Linked DNA regions of Drosophila melanogaster. The gene in region 2 interacts genetically with the main gene of each other region. Each region holds a gene or a part of one and is shown on either strand. Other genes may lie near its edges.

What was found.
Region 1: of Syx7 (region 2) and Tak1, changing one suppresses a phenotype caused by changing the other (phenotypic suppression), as found in Drosophila melanogaster (one study listed by BioGRID).
Region 3: of Syx7 (region 2) and grnd, changing one suppresses a phenotype caused by changing the other (phenotypic suppression), as found in Drosophila melanogaster (one study listed by BioGRID).
Region 4: of Syx7 (region 2) and Moe, changing one suppresses a phenotype caused by changing the other (phenotypic suppression), as found in Drosophila melanogaster (one study listed by BioGRID).

What each region holds. Positions count from the first base shown.
Region 1 is NC_004354.4:20,521,898-20,526,669, reverse strand, and holds the start of Tak1 (TGF-beta activated kinase 1), read left to right. Parts: upstream 1-1,741; 5' UTR 1,742-2,702; coding exon 2,703-2,771; intron 2,772-3,311; coding exon 3,312-3,611; intron 3,612-3,849; coding exon 3,850-4,165; intron 4,166-4,224; coding exon 4,225-4,406; intron 4,407-4,628; coding exon 4,629-4,772. UniProt on the Drosophila melanogaster protein: Component of a protein kinase signal transduction cascade. Mediator of TGF-beta signal transduction. Responsible for activation of the JNK MAPK pathway (basket, bsk and hemipterous, hep) in response to LPS.
Region 2 is NT_037436.4:21,443,805-21,448,641, reverse strand, and holds Syx7 (syntaxin 7), read right to left. Parts: upstream 2,809-4,837; 5' UTR 2,619-2,808; intron 2,482-2,618; 5' UTR 2,388-2,481; coding exon 2,267-2,387; intron 2,200-2,266; coding exon 2,130-2,199; intron 1,780-2,129; coding exon 1,635-1,779; intron 1,562-1,634; coding exon 1,145-1,561; intron 1,087-1,144; coding exon 991-1,086; 3' UTR 514-990; downstream 1-513. Other genes in the region: Alp1 (alkaline phosphatase 1), read left to right, coding at 3,892-3,967, 4,542-4,801.
Region 3 is NT_033779.5:18,483,686-18,488,541, forward strand, and holds grnd (grindelwald), read left to right. Parts: upstream 1-1,731; 5' UTR 1,732-2,282; coding exon 2,283-2,517; intron 2,518-2,940; coding exon 2,941-3,249; intron 3,250-3,331; coding exon 3,332-3,513; 3' UTR 3,514-4,336; downstream 4,337-4,856. Other genes in the region: CG10283 (uncharacterized protein), read right to left, coding at 209-284; kon (kon-tiki), read right to left, coding at 4,389-4,856. UniProt on the Drosophila melanogaster protein: Acts as a receptor for TNF-cytokine egr. Plays a role in activation of JNK signaling and is required for egr-induced apoptosis, including in wing imaginal discs during development. May also play an egr-independent role in cell proliferation.
Region 4 is NC_004354.4:8,873,114-8,880,638, forward strand, and holds Moe (moesin), read right to left. Parts: upstream 5,613-7,525; 5' UTR 5,425-5,612; coding exon 5,356-5,424; intron 4,049-5,355; exon of another isoform or gene 3,943-4,048; coding exon of another isoform or gene 3,901-3,942; intron 3,640-3,900; coding exon 3,460-3,639; intron 3,325-3,459; coding exon 3,193-3,324; intron 2,947-3,192; coding exon 2,920-2,946; intron 2,909-2,919; exon of another isoform or gene 2,748-2,908; coding exon 1,981-2,747; intron 1,787-1,980; coding exon 1,390-1,786; intron 1,289-1,389; coding exon 1,076-1,288; intron 999-1,075; coding exon 834-998; 3' UTR 510-833; downstream 1-509. UniProt on the Drosophila melanogaster protein: Involved in connections of major cytoskeletal structures to the plasma membrane. Together with wgn, involved in control of axon targeting of R8 and R2-R5 photoreceptors, independent of egr.

The DNA.
Region 1 (4,772 bases), on a different chromosome or scaffold from region 2:
CTGTGTGCATATATGTGCATATATCAACAAGTTGCCCGCAGTCAGTTGGTTGGAAATTGGTGCAATTGGTAAAGGATTATACTAAATGGTATTGAAGTTGCTTGCTGGGTTGACACGGGTGCTGATGTTACGGTTGTGATGTACTCGGTGTACATGAGGCAAAAAGATGTTGTGCTAAGTCCATGTCGTTCTTTGTTGCGTGGCCTGGGCAAGGCGGCCACGTTGCCTCTGGGAGTTTTCGCTGGAGATGTTCAAATAGACGATATGGAGACTGTTCAAAACTTCATCGTGGTGGCGGATGAAAAAATGGAAGGTGATGGAAGTGCATTGGATACGATTTTCTATCGAAGTTTCAATTTACACTGGATGTAAATGGGTTTACGTTTTGTGTCGTTATCAGCTTGGCCTGAGGTAGCTAACATTAACCAGATAAGTATTCACGATTATGTTTGCACTGAAAGTAATGTGAATGCTCCTCCCCAATTTGCACCTATGATACGGAAGCTGATAGACGAATATCATCCAACCTCCAATTGTGCCGGATGAGAAAATTAAGACGTTTCGTCATCAACCAAGTCGACATCCGCCAGTTAAAGCCAAAGCCGTTAAAAAACAAGTCGATGACTGGTTAAAAGAAGAAATCGATTGACCATCTACTTCAAGCTTCGCCAGTAGAACTGTCGTAGTGAAGAAAAAAGTACGGCACTTACAGAATCTGTATAGGACTATCGCCAATTAAACAGCATGGTTCTCAAGGATTGCTTCCCTGTGTCGATTTCCTGCAATTCTACTGCGGCATTTATAAGATTTATAAACCACATATTCCCGAGACATTCTACAACTCTATATGGATGATATTATAATATATGGACAGACGAATGACGAATGTATTAAGAAACTAAAGTTGGTGCTATTAGAATCAGCGAAGTTCGGCTTACGTATAAAGTGAAAGAAATGTCATTTCATACGCACGATATTGGAAGAACGACCTTACAATGACCTTAAACTGAAGGGAGGAGTTTTATTCATGTTTGTCAAAGGAAATGATTTGCTTATTGTACCTAAAATAATCGAACGTAAGATTATAAACGAAGCTCATGGATTCGGACATTATGCAAACCAGAACAAACCGTACATTCTATACAACAGCAGTTTTGGATTCCACACCTAGAGAGCAAGGTCGAAAAGCTTATAGACGCGTGTATTCCGTGTATTATTACGAACAAAAAGCTGGGCAAACAGGATGGACTTTTATGATGCATTGAGAAAGGTGACAAGCCGTTACACAATATAAGTACATCTTCGCACTTGTTGGTGGATTTTTGAAATTCGTGTGGATTTTTACTACAAAATGTCTTAACAACAACTGGAGTTGCCAGAGGAAATGGGCGGGTAGAGAGAATTAAATAGATCTATCTTATCGTTTTAAAAATACAACAACGATTGAAAACTCTCGAAATGGGATGTACTGGCGCCATCTATCGGAGGTAATAGGTACCCCGAGACGCATGCAAAGCGCCAGAGGGCGACACAGCTCCTCTGACGAGATGGCATCACTATTTTTATTGGGAGTATTGGTATCTCGGGTGTAAAAATTAAATTGATGCCTAATTTTTGAAAATATGTCACACAAATAATAAGTATCTTTTAAGTGGATAGATCCATTGATGTCGCTGGAATTAAAAATACAAATACCAATGTTATCGTTATCGGCGAGTCCACACTGTGCTAGGCAAAAATATCGACGTACCTTGCGCCCGATATCTGGCACTAATGTATCGATGACGGTCTTGTTAAATTATTAAAAAAAAAACAAGTTTGTACTTGAAAAGTACGGCGTATATCTACAGCGAAGAACGCAAGAACCCGCCAAGGCAGCGTCCGATGCAGACGCCATCTGTTCAAGCATTGAGCCCGGAATCCGGAGGAATCCCGGCCAGGATGTGATGTGCGCACTGGGCCCTCTCCGCTGGTCGATATAAACTCGTGCCCCCCTCTTCTAGCCACCTTCTTGCTGTCAACCGCCTGCTCATTCTACCCCACAGTTCCAGTCCCAGTCCTGCACAGCAATCATCTTCGCCTGGAGAAGTCTACCGGTAGCACGAGTGGTGGAACCAGGCAGACTACAAAGGACACGGAGACCGCGGTGTCTGGGAAATCGGCTGAGCACGGAAACCGATCCACTAGGGTTGGCATCACGCACCACTTTGTCCAGGAACCTGCAGCTGAGGAATCTAGATAACATCTGAAGTCTCCTGGGAACTGCGAAACACACCATATCTTAGCAAAATGACGTGGTAAAAGTTGTCAGTCGCAATCTATACAAAGGCAAGAAACTTTATGATGAATCCAGGTCTAGATCTTGCAAAGATTCCGAAAACTCTGTCCCCAAGAGGGAACCAAAGGCACAGTTAGCCAGCAATGAAATCGGGAACCCACGGAATCGTAGCCACTAAAAAGGCGAAATCCCGGTAATTCTACCAAAATAGCGCACCACCTGGACACCATAGAAGAGAGCCTTAAGGCAAGGAATCGGTGGCATACTTGGACAGTTGAAGAGAACTTTAAATCTGGTAATCAGCGGCGCCAAATGCAACTGCAACTGGTAAACTAGTACTCATTTGTAAGCCAAAACACTGACAAACAAAAGCTGCATCTGAAAAGCAAGTAGAGAACACCAGGATACTTAGCGTTCCACGGAGATGGCCACAGCATCGCTGGACGCACTGCAGGCAGCCTATGTGGACTTCAGTGAGATAACACTAAGAGAGGTGTGCATACCAAACGGAATATACCCAAAGTCTAGAGCTCCTATTGGTGTATACGTATACGCAATCTTGAAACGATAAACAACCAGTAATCATATACCATTTAGGGCAGAGCAAGTACTCATTCTTAGTTAGTCAGACGATTATCGCACTTTCAAAAAGCATGTTTTAATCTATAAACGGTTATTTTTTCGTTTTAAAAGTGTATGCTTTGTAACAGCTCTGTTAAAAAACCCAAGAAAGGTTTTATATTTTAAACTTACGCATTCCTAAATGCTTACATTCGTTTTAGGATTTCGTTTCAAACTTATTAAAACAAACTACAGACTGTATACAAATATCAGCATATTTATTAACGATACGATCTTATCAGTTTGATAAGAAACGAATTTCAAATTTACCCATCACAATGCGTTCGTGTGTTCTACTTGAAGTCAATTCAAACTGTGTTAGACCAAGGTGTATAACGTAATTAGTATTGAGGAGTTTTGCACAAGGAGGGTACAACTGTTGAATCAGATCTAATAATCTTTTTCCCCGCAGAAAGTCGGCCATGGGTCCTACGGAGTGGTCTGCAAGGCCGTTTGGCGCGACAAGCTGGTTGCCGTCAAGGAGTTCTTCGCCAGCGCCGAGCAGAAGGACATCGAGAAGGAGGTGAAGCAGTTGTCGCGCGTGAAGCACCCGAACATCATCGCTCTGCACGGGATATCCTCGTACCAGCAGGCCACCTACCTGATAATGGAGTTCGCCGAAGGTGGATCGCTGCACAACTTCCTTCACGGCAAGGTGAAGCCGGCATATTCTCTGGCCCACGCCATGAGCTGGGCGCGCCAATGTGCAGAGGTAGGTCGTCGTCGAGGGGCGGGGCGGTTATAACGTAGGGCTCAACCCCGTAGCGCTTTCCATCCAATTCGTTGAAATTATCTGGTGAAATAATGACTCAAATGGATTGTGGTAATTCACATTGCTTGCATGATTACTTAAACAATTTCAATAGCTATTCCGCATAACCAGAATTAAAATAATAGTAATTTGTTTAAAGTTTAGCCCTAATTACATTTCCATTTGTTTTCCTCTCTAGGGTCTGGCATATTTGCATGCCATGACGCCAAAACCACTAATACATCGCGACGTGAAGCCGCTGAACCTGCTCTTGACCAACAAGGGACGCAATCTGAAGATATGCGACTTCGGCACGGTGGCGGACAAGTCGACCATGATGACCAACAATCGCGGCAGTGCCGCTTGGATGGCGCCCGAGGTCTTCGAAGGCTCCAAGTATACGGAGAAGTGTGACATTTTTAGCTGGGCCATTGTTCTATGGGAGGTTCTGTCCAGGAAGCAGCCCTTTAAAGGCATCGACAATGCCTACACCATCCAGTGGAAGATCTACAAGGGTGCGTCCTCCAATTCACTCTTTTTCCATCGAGCTTATCGAGATCTGTGCTCCTCGCAGGTGAACGCCCGCCGCTGCTGACCACTTGCCCCAAGCGCATCGAGGACCTGATGACCGCCTGCTGGAAAACGGTGCCCGAGGATCGCCCGTCGATGCAGTACATAGTGGGCGTTATGCACGAGATCGTCAAGGACTATACGGGGGCGGACAAGGCCCTGGAATACACGTTTGTTAATCAACAGGTGAGACAGCTTTATTGGGTCAATACACAATTGTAAAAGAGTCAATTGGTGTTTTTATCTATTGAGGAAAGCGTTCTTTTACTCTGCCCGTCTTTAAAACCTAATTTAAATTCGATATTGTTTGGCACTAAATGCAATCATTACCCTATACGGATAACATCACTTTTGCGTTATTTTCCTTTGCCACACATTGCTAACTCTTGATCCTTGAACTGCTCGCAGATTGTCACCAAAGAGAGCGACGGCACGGTGGCCGCTCAACCGGATAGCCTCAGTTCGCAGGAGGGGGAACTGAGCCCCTCGTCCACACAGTTAACACCGACAACGGCGGCCAACGCCAATGTGAACGCGATAGCAATATCAAAA
Region 2 (4,837 bases):
GCCAACAAGTGGATAAGAAGCCACCACACAAATGATGCCCAAACGAACTATCAATGTCAGTGAATTGGCAAAAAATTTAAACTCAATTTGTATGCAGGCCTGCGGAGCTGGAATTTCAAATGTGGAGGAAGATGGGGTCCGGCGACGAGGAAACCCTTTAGCCCCGGCTGACACACCTCAACGATGCAGCAAGCTGAAGTGGGTCCACCGCATCCAGGTCTGTCGCGGCATTAATGTGCCATCGGAGAGTGTGCGCTCGCTGAACACATAGTCGGATTGGTACCAATGTTTTGGGATCGAGATCGGGTTGGGAGTCGGGAGATGGGAGCTCCTAAGCCGCTAAAGCATGCGTAACAATGGCCAACACGAAATCTTAATGATCGCTAAGCCAAGGAGGAGTCGATGACCATGCACTTCTCCGAATGCCCAGAAGAGCTGGCGAGTTCCATTCATTGATTCATTCAGGTCGGGCCCTAAATGAAGTGCTCCAAGTGTTTTCAACGCACGCAGGATCGATTTTCATGTTTATTATTTCATTTTTCGTACATGTGTGTATGCCATCGCATATATGGCTTCCTCTGCCTCTTAACTCTAAATACAATACAATACAATACAAAGCGCTGGCGAATGAGTTTCGGAACATAATTAGAATTTGAAGCCAACAGTTGTTAATCAATACTAATAATCAATATACAGGGTGCGTAATAATAAAAGTAGTACACATAAAATATAAAATTGTTTTTAAAGCAAATATAACAGATGCACGTGCCGGTGAATACTCCTCAAAACACTATATCTTCGTCTACGAGTCGCAGTTTTCGATTTCAGCCAGTATTGGAAGTTGGATTAAGGATTAAAGCCATAATCTCGCCTAAGGTCCAAAGGATTGGGTGGGGAATTACGGGGTTTAGGGGCCTGCATGCGGCAACTCTTGTCTTTTCACAACAATTTACTAGTTTGGTTTGAATCATTCGGAGATGCCGGAAGGCTCTAATTCTTGAACTGAAAAACGAGTATCAAGATGATGGCCAGCAGCACGGCGCTCAGGATGCCCACCAAAATAAGCTTCTTCTTGCGCACTTTGTTCTAATAAACAACATATTTAAATTATTTAAAATAATAACCTTGTAGGGGCGGCACTTACCCTGTAAGAGCTCGCCTTGCGCAGATTTTCCGTGCCCTGCGAGACAAAAATGCTAGTCTGTTCCACCTGCGACTCGATGGAGTCCACCGTCAGTCCCTGCTCGTAGACCAGGGCGCCAAGCTTCTTGTATATCTCGTTCACGCCCACGATGTTGTTCTCCAACTCCCGTATGACCTGCTCCTGTTCCTCGAGGGCCTGCAGGTCCGCCTGCTCCTCCATCTGAGTCTGCATCTGTTGCTGGTTTGATTTGCGATTGAAGAAGTTGTCCTCGAAGAAGGAGTTGTTGTCCTGCTGGCTGGCGCTACTGTTGGAGCTGCCGGTACGCGATGAGCCGGGTGGACGGGCGATGTTGTAGCTATCTCCGCGCGCCTGCCGCAACGCCGTCTTCTCTATGTCCGCCGTCTTGCGCTGAACAGACTAAAAATACCAATGATAAACAATCAGCATGACTCACAAAACCATTTGCTTATCTGGGAGAACAAAAACAAACCTGGAAGGCGGTCAGTGCCGCCGTGAACTCGTCCACGAGCCTATCCCGCTGGATCTTCAGGTGGCGCTCCTTGCACTTGTCCACCTCGTTGATTTGATTGTTTGTGTCGGTCACCAGCTGGTTGGTGTAGGTCATTATTTGGTGGCTGTGGAGTAAGGGATTGTTATTTTTATCGTGCGTTATACATTGATTTGATTTGTGAATCACACTGTGCTGATACGTTTAAACTTTCAAAACCAATGACTGACTACAATGTTATTTTGCTGTTGGTTTATGTGGTCGGTTGATGTGCGCAAAATGTATTAAAAGGCTGTATTGGCTTAAGAAGATTTTTAGACATTGTGAGTAAACACCCAATAGAGATCTTCACTATGTCTTTAGAATTTATGATTTGTCTGAGAGATATTCGAATAATCGATGTATATCTGCAATGGGTTCTATCTATGGGGACAGTTTAAATTCCAAACGAAGAGATCGTAATGATAATCATCTTACAGCTGCTTCTTGAGCTCCGGAGAATCTTGGGGCGTGTTCAGTTGATTGACCATGCGCTGCATCGTGGACACTGCGAAAGAGACAGAAACCTAGATTAGTCATAGGCGAAAGTTGGCAAGTGCTTCGACGCCACTCACCATTCTGCTGCACCTTCTGGATGCTGGTGGCTATAATCTGGGCCAGCCTTTGGAAATCTATTTCGCTTAGGCCACCTCCTCCCCCGCCGCTTAGACCATTCTCCATATGCTGTAAGTCCATGCTTTCGTAGGCAGACACTTTGATGACCTTCGAGTTATCGCTGGAGACAAGTTGTTCCTGGAGAGACAGACAATCGAATTAGCCCCGTGGCCCACTTATATCACATTCGCTTTTATGCGTCTCAGCCAGGTTCTTGATTCTATATTCTATATTCGTGCTTGTTTGTTAGTTTGTCTGTTTGTCGGAATGTTTGCAATTCGCATTCCCTTTGTTTGCTGCACAGCCACACACCTTTTGTGGTTGCCCTAGCTGTCGTTGGTGACCTTCGCCGGTGACCTTGATCTTAGAGCATTTCCTTCGCACTTTTTACGCGTTTCGCAATCTGAAATTTGTTGATTTAAGTAGGCGGAATGTTCGCAAAACTGAAATTTTAGCTAGGTTTTTACAACAATTGGAATGGAACTGCCAACTTGTGAGAAAGTCACTTTCGACTAATACCCAAAAGTGCCTTAGCGCGTGATGCGTTTAGCATCACTTCCTTGCTACGCTTTACAGCACTTCAATTATATCGATATCTGGCGCGGCATTCAAATAGCAGATATATAGAACTGCATTTTAATTATATTCTTCCCCCTATATTTTGTCTCGAAAATGTATATAAGTCCTGAGATTTATTATTGAAAATCGATCCATGTCTAAAATGAACTGCTTAATGTTATTATTCAAAATTATAAATTATTATTTTGCACTTTTTCTCCAAAATTAAAATGTTAGATTAGGAAAATGTCGTATAGAAATGAAAATGACCAACAATGATGCCTTATAAAACAAATAAGTCGAATTTTAGACAGTTTTCCTTCCGTTCAATAAATATGTTCATACCAAATTTAATAATAATGTAGGTATACAAAACTATTTTGCTTACCCAGAATGTTATTCAAAACTTAAAATTTAACATTGTACAACTCAGGGTATTTGAAACCTGTTTAGCAGAAATAAAATTGAAGATTATTACTTTTCTTAAAAAAGTCAAATAACTGGTAGACAAAATAAGTGCAACTCGTTTATAAAAAAAATCAAAAGCAACTTAATTCAAATTAACGTTACAAATTAGTGTATTGGAGATATTTATCAGTATCCGGTGTTTGGCACGGTTAATGAACTTTAGATCGCAGAATGAATTAGGCTGCTTCGATGCATCCACTAATTACATCATCTCCTACTGCGATGCAAGATATTATGCAAATGACCAATGCAACGAACCTGATTTTTGGAGAACATCATTTTAATCTAAGCTGTGCTGGCTGCATAATTTGAATAAGGGCATAAATGCCTTTCTTTCATCCCGAAATTCCGGTTGGTAGGTGTATTTAGAAGCTTTATAATACAGGGACGGGTTTTAATTTATTGTCTCAGTGTTTTTTTATAATTCGACTCGCATTTTCGGTCCCTGTCTTACCGGGCTCGTATAAATAAGCCTCCAACTGCGAAATGCGGCTTAGTCGATCCGTAGACTTCGTAACGCCCCGACCAGTCGAAAGTTAGTTCATCAAAATTCCGTGCGATGCGTGCTCTCCGGTTCTTTGCGGCTCTTGCCCTCCAACTCACGGCCTGTAGCAGCCAGTACAAATATGGGCCAGGTGCGTAACGTCAAGACCGAGATCAGAAACGGGCCCAAAAGACCCGAAATGAATAAATGAAAAACGAGTGAGAGTGTGCCAGGTCGAAAGCAAACTCAAAACATATGCAGAATTGATTAATCAAGTGCTAAACGGAGTATAAAAGGCGTCAGCAAAATACTCGTAAATTGAATTAAATATTTGACACCCGCTAACAGAGCTGTCAAACATCACTTTTTCCGAAGGAGAATGTTTTAACGAAAGTGGATATAAGACTAATACTTTAAAATTTAAATTTGAATTAATTTTAATGCTTAATTTCCATAGGTTTCTTTCGGTGTTTTATTTATGTGCTATCTTCTGAAAGCAATTTCCCTTTTTAATGATTAATTCGAAAGTGGAGTGGAAAACAATGGCAATTGTGTCTGTGCTTTTGTTTTGTAAAACGAAACATGTGCTTGGAATTGATAAATTCTTGAGGTTGTACTTGAAATGTGTATGCATATCGGCTAGTAACAAAAAATGGTTTCAATTAATCAGAATAATATGCATTCTTAATTTATAATGAAATAAGCTAAAATCGCATTACTTTCAGAGCAATCCTGGGACCTCGACTCTATTTCCGAGTTGAAGAGCAAGGAGTTCTGGTTTCACGACGCCCAGCGCACGCTCTACAATAAGCTATCCACTCCACCAAACCAATATCGTGCCAAGAATGTCATATTTTTCCTGGGCGACGGTATGTCCGTTCCCACGGTAACCGCAGGCAGGATCTTCGATGGACAGCTGCGTGGAGTGGTGGGCGAACGGAATCGTCTGGAGTTCGAGAAATTCAACTATGTCGGTCTGTCCAAGGTACTTAGAAGTCAACGAAGTCATTTGTTATCTCAA
Region 3 (4,856 bases), on a different chromosome or scaffold from region 2:
ACGTTGAAGAGGAATTTTAAAAGACCTCAAATTAATCACTTCTATGTGGTGCTCATGCCCCCCCCGCCCCAATTCCAAAGCCCCTTCATCTCAATAGCTACACTCAAACCCAATCAATTTCCAATTATCCAAGGCCCCGTACGAAATTGTTCATGTTCAACCAATTTCGAAATGGTTTGCTTCGGTTCGGTTCTTAACCCATGCTTACCCTCATTAACATGTCCTGATCGGGGCAGCGCTTCCTTTGGTGGTGCGGCTGCTGTTGTGGTTGTGAAATTATTCATCTCTCTCCTCCTCTCGCCACCCTTCTCTTTCTAACAGGCTCTGGCTGTCTCTTTCGGTGGCTCAAATCTCTATAGAATATCTGTATCTCGTTCTAAAACAGGTGTTTAAATTGGGTAGCTCAAGGACGCGCCTTCCACTCCACTGATTTTTAATTTATGTTGGTTTACTTGTTGAAGCGGGCTGGCAAAATAGATACATAGATGCGGCGATACAGAGCGTGAGTAAACTATATTTTCATCTAATTGCGTCGCTCTCGGTGCAACTATTTCACTTTCACACTTCCACACGAGATATAATGCTTATAATTCCACAATTTCCACCATCAACACGCGCGCAACAACGACAGCTGCAATTCAAAATTCGATTTGATTTAGGTATTGTATCCCAAAGATACGCAACGAACCGGCGGCCGTCGTTCCACGAAAGCAGCAAAACAGCTCATTCAACAGCGAAAGCCGCTCAGCGAATGGATGTTGTTTGACTTGGCCATACAGTCCAGCTAACTGGAAGACACAATAATACTGCAAGCGGCGCTGGAACTGGAAGCCGATACAAATGTATCTCGAAAGCGGCACTGCAATGGAAGAGAGAATAAGAGAGAGGAGAGAGAATAACTCAAAACAGTGCTGCCAAGTTTCAAAAAGATTTCAAATCTAAATACAAAAAGTTATAATTTTACTATTGATTTATAAATTCATTAAACGGTATATATGTACATATGGTTTTTTATTATTATTTAATTTTCCAAAATGAGTTGGGAGCAACGAATTTCAGTATTTCTTTTATTTATGTATATGGCATTTGCTGTTTAGTAAAGACATACACCATTGCGTTAGCTAAGCGAGGTTTCAATCCTCAACAAATGCTACACTTAAAAAATTCCAAAATCATATTTAATTAGATAAAAATTGTGTAGCTAGAAACTTGTTTATAAATATCACGACTGCTAGTTAGTTGTGAAAGTAAGGTATTATAATTAAAATTTAAATAATAGGTAATGTTGTAAAAAAAACTTTAAACGTATAGTTCATATTGGGATACTGGGAATTTCAATAAAAGTTATCTTAAACATATTGTCGTTTATTCATATAAAACTTTATTATTATTTTAATTGATAACTTGGGTAATAAAGTGAGTGAGCAAGTAGTCTCTATAAAATACTTCTTGAGGCACTACCTTCTCGTTGTTATTTATTTTTATAAGTCAAATCGCAGCCGAAATTTAAGAAACTGAAGCCGGGTTCAAAGTATGCCGAAGTCGGGAGTATTTCACTCATAGCGCAAAATAAACAGTCGATCGCAGACACACAAATACTTGTATTACTTGCCACAGCATAGATATACAGATACTTTTGCATCTACAATCGACGTGAAAAAGGTAAACAAAAGTCAAGTCACGGTGCGAATGAGTGTGTATTTGAGATAGATGCCTCGGTGCGAGTGCTGAGTTGTTGGTAACAGCGAGCGATCGCGGCATTCCAGTCAGTAACGAGTTGAATGTGGCTCAAAACGCGTCGCTGAACGATGGCTAAAAACGTTTAAAGTTAAAAAGCGTATTAAATCATATAATATATAATATATTGGTGTAAAAAATACAGAATTAAACCTAATAATTAAGTGTCCGGACATCCCCTAGAAAAATGTGTGAAAATGTTGAGAAACTAACCGGAATACTATGAAAACTGCTGTAAAACTTGGCTAAGATAAACTCGTTTGCACCAATACACATGTGATTATACGTATAAGGGCAACGCAAAATACTCAGACTCCAGAAGCCAGCAATTAAAAAAGAAGTTAGTCAGTTAGCGTCTGGGCCGCGTTACTGGTGTATGAATCATACTTTGGATACGTTTAAAAATAACAAAACAAAAACCTTAAAACGAGGAAAAAGTTGTAACAGTGCTAATGTAAACTTCGATCAAACTTAGCGGAACGAGCTCGCTACAAAACCAAATACCCATAACAAGTAAATTAAGCACACATTATAAAATACCTCAAATGTCGGTCAGGAAGTTGAGTGCCCTATCGCTCTCCATTGGTGGAGTTCCGTTGATTCCAAGTGTTTCCTTGGTAGCTGCGGCCAATGGAGAGAGTAGGGATTGCCATGGCACGATCTGTCATCCGGTCAATGAATTTTGCTATGTTGCAACGGAGAGATGTCATCCGTGCATCGAGGTCTGCAATAATCAAACCCACAACTACGATGCGTTTCTGTGCGCCAAGGAATGTTCAGGCAAGTAGAATTCAAAGATTTCCAAAAGATTACCTCAGATTAACTCACGATCCATAGGGTAATTTGGCGGGTTCTATGCAAGTTCAGGTTTTTCCAGCTGGACTTAATTGTATTTCAATTACAGTTGCTTCAGCGGGTGATTAACTCATCACCCATGAGTTGACTAAAATAGGGGGTATTTTAAAGATTTAAAGAATGTACATTTTTATAATAAAAATGATTTGTTGAAACTAGCTTTATAATAATTTTTTTAGTGTAAAAGATTTGTAAAAGTTGTAATGGCAAGATAAGGCCAGTTGCATTTGCAATTTTTATCTGACTATGTACAACGAGTTATCAAAAACGTTCCCGTGTTTTATCAATTATTATTTACTTAAAACGATAATAGTAGCGATATTATTTAATTTCTTTATCAACCCACAGCTTACAAGACATTTGAGCCGTTAAAAGCCGAGATGCTGGACATCCAGAATACCCAGCAGCTGATCCTCTTGCTGCTGACTATCCTTCTCGTCCTGATTGCGCTTCGTTGCGCGTTTCAGTTCCTTCGATGGCTGATAGGCAATCGGTGCTTCCAGAAGCTGATGCGCCGTCTCCAATCGAAGGCCTACCCTCATCCGGCAACTGCAAATGGAAAGGATCTTAATGCTACCACCATACAGAATCTGAATGCCATTAACCATCCCGGCAGCGACCTTGAGCGGGCACAATCACAGATCTACAGTGTGGCAGGTAAGTGTAAGGATCTACCTGTCCGGGTTTTTCCAATAACACTTCCCAATGTACACATTATACCTGCAATGATTTATTACAGGTGCTGCCGAGGGTTCCGTTGTGACTATGACAACGCCGGTGAGCACTCGCTATCCGGCGGAAAACAGTACCACGCCCACAACGGTTATGACGGAGATCGGATACGGATACGATAATCAGGCCATGGTCGTAACGCCGGTTTCCGAGAAACCCTCAGCAGCGACGATTCCCGTCGCTTTCTAAGGCCATACAAGTACTTGAAAACTCTTACTTCTAAATCAGTCCAGCGAAAGCAAAATGTGCACCACATTAAAACTAGTGATATTTTTCATAGTTATTAAGCAAGAAGTCTTCTATCAATATGGAATATATACGCATATCTGTAGAATATAAACCTTAATTAATAGGTTTATATATGTTGGGACATATTTTTGATAACCCAATGTGGCCCTGAAAACTTATATTCGATCTGTATGAAATTATATGTAAAGGAACTTTTTTCTCTTTACTTTAATATTTTCCTTAAAGCAACGAAAATACTTACAACATCACAACTATGAACGAAGAGACATATTTATAACTGTTAAGAAATATATTTATAATGTTCAATTTATTATCATGTTAAGTTTTTTATGTGGAAAAGTTTTGTAAATGGTAATATGGGGGAAAACCAATTCATTCGCAATCACCACAAACGTTTCTCAACACACTTCCATCCGGTTAAAATAATTACGAATGCGAAATAAATCTTCCTGAAAATTTTTTGAGTTTTGAAATAAGACACGGGAACTACGCTTAAAAGTATTGTCATTTATTGTAAAAAGTATTCCACGTTGGCAAACACAATTCTAAGGCTAAGTTAAGTTGGCTTTTTGAGTATAACTCTTGTTCTCGTCCTTAATGCTAATCGTTTGTATATGACACGCCAGATATGTATGTGTGCTTGTTTCCAAACTATAATTAATGTTTTCGTATATAAAATGCTTCACTTTTCCTAACGAATCTCATAAATCAGCCTTAAACGTAAGCTTATATTTAAATAAATAACCTAGGACTAATTCCGATCGAATTGGAAACGCTTGTATTGATCCCTTTATTGCAGAACATCCTTCTAAACCTTACACCCAATACTGATTCCGCCTAAGTAGTGGATTTGTTGGCGGGGCCGAGGGCGGTGAGCTGACCGATCCGGAAATACTTTGTGGCACAGAGGCATAGCCAGCAAAATCATTCGCCATATCGCAGGACGAACTCCAGGCGTCGTGCTCCATGTGATAAGGATTATATCTCTGCGGCAGCATCATTTGCTGCGGATCGCACTGATCGTCCGTCTCCTCCTCATCGGGATCGTAGTCGGGATACTCATGTTTGTACGACTCCACGGGTATTATCTTGCAATGGGGAATATTGCTGAAACCCGGTAACGGTGTTGAATTTCCTGTGGCCGGCACGGAATCCGCCTCGGAACTTGCGTAATGGTGGCCATGATGATGGTGCAGATGGTGTTGCGGACTCACAGAAGTCAAGTCTGGTGGACACGGTAGCGCCGGCGGCTGATCCTTGGATATATCTGCCTTGTGCTTTCT
Region 4 (7,525 bases), on a different chromosome or scaffold from region 2:
TTCTTGCAAAACAAAAATAGATTAAAGAAAAATATTTTATATAATATATTTTTTCTCTTTTTGTTTGTTGCTCTCTCTCAAGTTAATTTAAGAAACAATTAATCAAGTTCTTATTTAATTATACAAATTTAAAAAAAATAGTAATTATATAATAATAAAAATAATAATTATAACGGGGGAAAATGCAAATAGTTGTTTGTTTTGTTGTAGTAGCTGTTCTTGTTGTTGTTGATGTTGTTGTTGTTTATTGTTGCTGATGTTCCTTTTCAATATCTATTACTATTCGTTCCGTTTTCTCAATGAATCCATTGGGAAAAGGAGAAATGTATATTTTCTATTGCTTCTGCTTGGATTTAGACATATTTTCCGATAGCTTGATCCTCATTCATTTGCTGATTGTCCATATAGATGCGGTCCTTCCTAACCGTCTTCTCATTCTATTCATATTGATGAGTGCTGTGTCCGGCTAAATTAGTTTCCATTAATTTATTTTTTCTTTTTTTCTTTTTGCTTATTCTTGATTCTTCTATACAAAAGCTGCGAGACAAAACGACGGTCAAACAAAGTATATTTCATTTCAATTCACTTTAGGAGGCAGGAAGTGTTCTTATGGGTGGAAAAGGGTCGTCGCTGGTGGGATAGTTAGCAATAGGCTTTTGCCAGCGACCGGAATTATATTTGTTGCTTATTCTTCATCATCATCTTCATCATTATCAATCATCATTATTATTATCTGCTCTTGCTGTAGTTATATCTTTTTCTTTTTCTTTCTGGAGTCTCACCGCTCCCTCTCTCTTTCCCGCGCACTATCGATCTCTGATCTTTGATAGCTTTTACATGTTCTCAAACTGATCGACGCGACGCTTTGTGTTGCCCTTACGAATCTCGCGGAGCGTCTTGTACTTGTCACGTCCCTGGCGAACGTTCTCGCGATGAATCTTATCGTTTGCCGTCTCTTTCGTCTCGTCGCGAGACTGCGCCAAATCTTGTTTCAGAGCCTAGATATAGATATATATATATATCAAATTGATATTGTTAGTTGAGTGGAGCATAAGGGACTCGATTTCGAACCCACCTTGAGCTGATCGTGCAAGCGTTCGTTGCGCTCGGCCAGCGTGCGTCTGTCCTCGATGGGGTCCTTGATATGCTCGTCGGTGTCCAGGTCGCGCGACACATCGCCACCGGCATCGCCGTTCGTCAGCTCCTCCTCGTTCTCGTTCTCATCCTCGGCCACGTGGTGATGCTGCGGCGTTGTCGACGCGGCCAGCAGAGCGGCAGCGGCTTCAGCCTACAAAAACGACAATGTTCAGTATAAAGTTGAACACAAAATGGTATCAAGACTATATTCATTGGTTTTTTCGATGCCAACAAATAGTGAAAAAAGTGTACCGCAATGACCTGCTTGCGTCGGGCGTCTTCCACTTCGTCCTGCAGACGCTTTGTCTCCTCATCCTTGGCGTTGACCTCGTCCTGAATGCGCTGCACCTCCATCTGCTTGGCCATGATCTCCTCCTCGAGCTTGAGCTTCTCGACGGCCTCCATATTCTTGGCCTCCTCGAGGCGCTGCAGCATCGCCTGCAGCTCCTTCTGGCGCAGCTCCAGCTCATCCTTGGCGGCCTGCAGCTGCTTCAGCTGCTCCTCCAGCCGGCGGATCATGTCCTGCGCCTCAAGCAGATCGCGCTGCGAACGCTCCATGTCCTCCTGCATCTGCTTTAGCCGATCCTCGTACTCCTGCTGCTTCTTTTCAGCGCGTTCGCGTGCGGCCAGCGCCAGCTGCAGCTTCTCACTGCAAAAACGAAAGAACACCGAAAATAAGAAGGGAATCATCTGCTTGCAGATTATAGCCTGTGCATGAATCAGACTCTCATGGAAATGATATGCTCGAATCATTATGTTTCGGGTCATTGAAACGTTGTATTTCGTTGAAATTCCCAAAGTTTTGATTCATTCAAACAGACATGACTTGAAATCCGTACTAACCGTTCCTGCTGTTTGGCATTCTTCTCCTCGCGCGCCTGCGCCTTCATCTGCTGCACATCGATGGTGTCCGGCTTGCGGCGACGCATGTACAGCTCGTGGTTGCCCATGCAGAGGGCCAGAATGCGCTTGTTGATGCGGACACGTGGCGCAAAGAACATAAAGTCCGGAGCCTTCTTGTCGATCGGCTTGATGATGAACTTCTTCTCCGAGAACGAAATGTTGCGAATCTCGGACCATGGGAAACCAATTTTCGGCGTCAACCTATCGTCCTGCTCGTAAATGTTCAGACCCAGTGCGTCTACGCCCAGCCAAAGATCCGTGCCCTTCTTGTTGCGGATCTCAAAGTAGTTAACGCCGTACATCTCCAGGTCTTGGGCGATCTTCAGATACTCCATCATGGCATCCTCGCGCAGCATGCTGCGATGCTCCTGCCACCAGGTCATAATCGACTGCTCCCACTCGTCCTTGGACATCTTGTGCTGGTCGATGACGCGCTGCGGCAGCAGGCGATCGTTGGCCAGAAAGCCGGCTGTGTGGGTGGTCTTATTGTGGTCACCATGACGCGCCTGGACGGCGTACGAGGCGAGCAGCACGGATGTCTCTGGCGGACAATAGATCTCGTCGGTCAGTATGGCATTCTTCACCTGCAGGTAGAACAGACGCAGTGTAATGTCCTGGATCAGCTCCTCGGCCACATCCTCGGGATAGAATTTGGCACGGAACCTAAACTGCAAGGGATTCTCCTTCTTCACGTCCTGGTTCATCACCTGTGAAAAGCGAAAACATATCACTATTAGATGCGAATGCACGCTAAAGTTTACAAACTGCAAATGGATTTGTATACGAAAAAAAAAAAAACGTTTGGTTTTCCCGATTCAATAATGAAATAATAAACATAATATCATAGATAAAAAAGTGCATGCGGCGTCTGAGTGTTACCCATGTCGAAAACGGCATTGATCCAGTCTGTTTGTTGTTGTGGTGCAGCATTAAATCATATACAGAGATTGCATTTGTATTAGTAAATCAAGTCTCTAACAATCGCTAATTAACTTAAGCTAAGCATTCGAAGGCGAGGCGATACAATACAATTATAGAATTGGCATTTTACAGGATAATTCGGTTTATGTTCTAGCTGGGACTTTTTGTGGATGTACTTTGCTGGATTGGCATATATATATATATATAAATATATTCTCGATCTCTGCCCACCATATCATCGGCGTCGTCATCCTCTTCGCTCGTCTCTAAATGATTTACTCCATTGCTGTCGGCTGTCTTTTTGTCCACATACTTCTTTACACGCTTTAAATATTTTATTGTCTTTATGGCCGGCGATTCGGGCTATATTATGTATGTACCATACATTACATTTATAAATATTATGATGTACATGCAATCTTAGTAAATAATTTAAATTTATATTCTTTTGAACTATAAACTTCAAACTTTATTTGTATGAAATTTATAGTCGCCTACCTTTTTGTACAGCTTGATCCATGTGGAGTCGCCCTTGGAGTCGGTGTACTGGAGTCCAAAGAACCAAACCTCTCGCAGGCCGATCGTCTTCACCACCTGGTCAAACAATTGCTTGCCCGTCGTCGTCGACTGAATGGCGAACTCCAGTTCCGCGTCCATTGTCGTGACGCGCACATTTAGCTGAAATTAGTAAGGGATGTCGTGATATTAAAAAAATATCGTATTAAATGATTAAAATAACGCAAAAATATATATATATATATATATATAAAAGAACAAAGCATTGCCTTTAGAAGGCAAACTAAAAACGAATGAATCAAACAGAATGTTTTATTAATTAAATGTAACTTATTTGTTTCTTTTGCTGCATTTCTTAAGTTAAAAGTGCCATCATCCATGACATGAAAAGCTAACTAGATCAAACTAACTGGGCATGCTCACAAGCCAAATAGAAAAAAAAAAGAGTAAAAAATTGACACCCATCGATGAAGGTGGCGTGCAGAGGAGAATCCCCCACGATTTGTTTAGGGGTCGATGGATTAACGGGATGTGAGCAGGGCACGTGCCAAGAGCTCCCGTTTCGCTTTGGAGGATTGGATTCGATTGCCACGACTTGCATAAGTCGGGCTTTCGACTTAAACGCGCGCACACACACGTTTCAAATGGGTGAAAAATGCTTGAAAAAATGGGGGGAAATGGGGGAAAATGGAGGGCAAAATGGAAAGAGGGAAAATGAAAGCGGGCCGCAGTGAAAAATCACGCTTGGAAAACAGCAAAGCAAAAATCAATCAGGCATGACAATAGCAACAAGCTGGAAATGACCAGGCAGCTCTAGATAGTGGAAATAAGTGGGGGGAAAACACAGGGTGTGGGGTGTGCGTGTGTGTGTGTGTGTGTGTGTATGGGAATATAGACCGGATGGCCAGCGAGTGGTAATCGGTGGTTATACAAGAGAGAGATAGAAAGAGAGAGCTCAGCCGCTATCTATCCCACTGCGCGTGCCACTTGACCAACTTGCAATGTGAAATGGCGGAAAAGCTAGGGAAATTCCACCCACATCGCCACCCAACGTCGGACACACAGCACATGCACATGTCAACCTGTACTAACTACACTACATACCATTGCGCAATCGCCACATTTGGATCAAAGTAAATGCGATCGTAGATCAAAATTGGGGTTAATATGCAGCGCAGACAATAGAGTATATATAACTAACAATTCAGTTCGCTTTTTACAACATGGCCAACAAATGTAAGTCTTACATTAAAAACCATTCGTTTAAAATATTCCTTTACTTTATTGAAATATACAAAGGAATTTTGCTAAATACCTAAATCAGCTACAAATTTTTTTAAACTATTTTATTTCCTATCTGTTAAGATTGATTGAACCAATTTCAGTTTTAAAGGCCCTTTGAAAATCCGCTGGTTTTTGTTACCATTTTCTGGGCATGGGAAAAAACAATGTGTGGTAGACCCAACAAATTAAAATTTTTTAACTTCATCATTTTGTTTGGCTCGGTTTTGCTTTTCAGTCCGAGGGCTCATTGTTTTGTTTTCGCTTTCGGCTGCTGAATGCAAATCAAACGTGACACAATGTTAGGAAATTGAAAACGTTTTTCATTTCAATCCAATTAACGTTTTTGGGTTAATGCAACCACCGTGGTTTCTGCTTTGTTTTTTTCTCCCCCTGGCCGCTGAGAATGAAAAACACAACAGCTATTTGCAACGGAAGTTGGAGCATAATAACCAGTTTTTAAAAAAGAAAAAAAAATGGTTTTTGACTTGAAACCACAAAAGTGCAGCACATGAAAAAAAAAAAAAAGAAAAGGGGGATGCGCTTTTCCAGCTTAGCAGGAAAAACGTGGAAAATAGTGAGCAGTGTGGTCCGTACCGTTTTCCGTTTGACGCTGACTCCGCCGTAACGCGGCAAACGGACGCGGCTGTCGGAGACGACGACCATTTTGGGCACCGAAAACGGATTGCGCAGTAGCTTTTGAATTATTACGCCTTTTCAATGCAAATCTCCGTCTGGGAAATATATATATATTCTTGAGCAGCCACAAGCTACGCGGGAAAACCAACCGACCAACGCGACACGATGGTTAAAAGCGGAAAAGCGACGATTCGATTCTGTTGTCCAGCGGCAACTGAGGAAAATGGAAAAGTCACGGCACGTTTTTAAGTCGCCAAATGGGGAAGACAAGCGCAAAAGGCAAAAGGAAAATAAATGCTAGAAGAGAAGAAAAACAAAAAACAACACTGGGAAAGCGGCGGCGGCGGCAGAACGCAAAAGAAACGCTAAGGGAACACACAACACAACACAAAATGAACTTAATTTCTGCCCAAGAAAATGGGAAAATTTTTATCCCAGTCATTCGTTGTCAAGTTAATATAAATTGCATGTTAATTATGCATCTAAAAGTGGACAGCCGCAACCATAAAGAAAAGAACTGCTGACCATAGAGGTCAAATGGGTTTTCCAGAACGAGAGAAGTATGTGAATGCAATGGGGGTCAAGTAAATAGTGCAATATGGTAAAATATATTTAAAAAATATATATATAAATCAAAACACAACCAATTCTCTAAATGAATTATTGATTGAATTAGCTGTATAGTTAGCTAATTTTTAGTTTGAACACTAGTCATTTGGCCAGCGCTGTGCGCCGAAGAGCACGAGAGAGCGCCGTAGAAACGCAGCCCCAAGGTAGGCAAACAAATCAGCGTCAATCATACGACGCGTTGGCTGTCAATTCTGTTTTATTGATGCCGCTTTTGGGCCTCAAATAGCAATTAAACCCCTCCCCCCTCCCCACTCCGCACTCACATATCAAGCTATTCAAACAGACCAATAAACATCTAGTTATGGATGAGAAAAACTATAGCGAAAAAGGGAAAGTTATGGAGAAACCATTCAAGCACGATGTGCATCGACTACTGCATTGGAACAGAGAAATTTCCCTAAAAGGCAAACGACTTCTTAAAGCTTTGTGCAAAAATCACCTTTCAATCATCCAAATTGTATTATAAAATCACTTCAAATCACGTGTTTGATTGTCATGATGAACTCATAACAAATACATCATTCATTAACAATCAAGTTGAGGCAAAAATGTCATTAGACCATCGCTGGGTGAGATAAGAACTTTTCCGGTTGCCAAAAAAAAAAAAAAAGAAATCACAACATGTCAAAAAGAAATTGGCAAATGCTTTGGTATGAAATAATGATCTACTCATGTGTTCATATCAATGACGTCGTCTTCTAATCCAATTTTTCGCCGTCTGCGTATCTGATGAAATGATGAAATTTTTTTTGGCAAATGTCCAAGAATCAAATACAATTACCAACGTCAACAGTTGGGCCAATATGACGTCTTCGCCTGGCCATCCCCATTCCCCCCCAGAAGAAGTTCTATTAAAAGATGCGATGCGATCCCAACACTCCACAATTGACGACAATTGTAGCTGAAGTGCTCTCTTGATAAGAACACAATTTCCGATAGCTGATAGCTGACAAACTTTTCGTTGTGATTTAATATAACTAATCTTTAATAATTTACTAGGCGCTAGTGCAAAACATTTGTTTTATCAGATTCGTTTGTGGTTTCATTCCAGTGATATATGGTTACCATTATAATGGAATATTTCGAACTTATTATAATACTGTCTAATCAGTACTAATTATTTATTATTTTATAGTTATTGGTTAACTTACCGCTTTTGGAGACATTTTGTTGTTTCGTGTCTTGTCGTACTTATCGAAACGAAATGTTTTCTTTCCAGGATATTATCGTCTGAACTCTTTATTGTTTTTGTGCTGCAATCTGCAAAATATAAGAAATAGAAATATTATAATAAAGTCAGTGTGTTTCTGCGCACATTTCACTTGATTAGCAGCAATTAATATCAAACCAAAACTATTCGTATATATTGATTATCTAAAACATGAGGCGTGCTTTAGTTGTTTTAGTTGCAAATCGAAAGATCACGATATGAATGCAAAATTTCTTGCACAATTGGCACTCTTTGTATAATTTGCAGCGGAACACATGCATATAAATA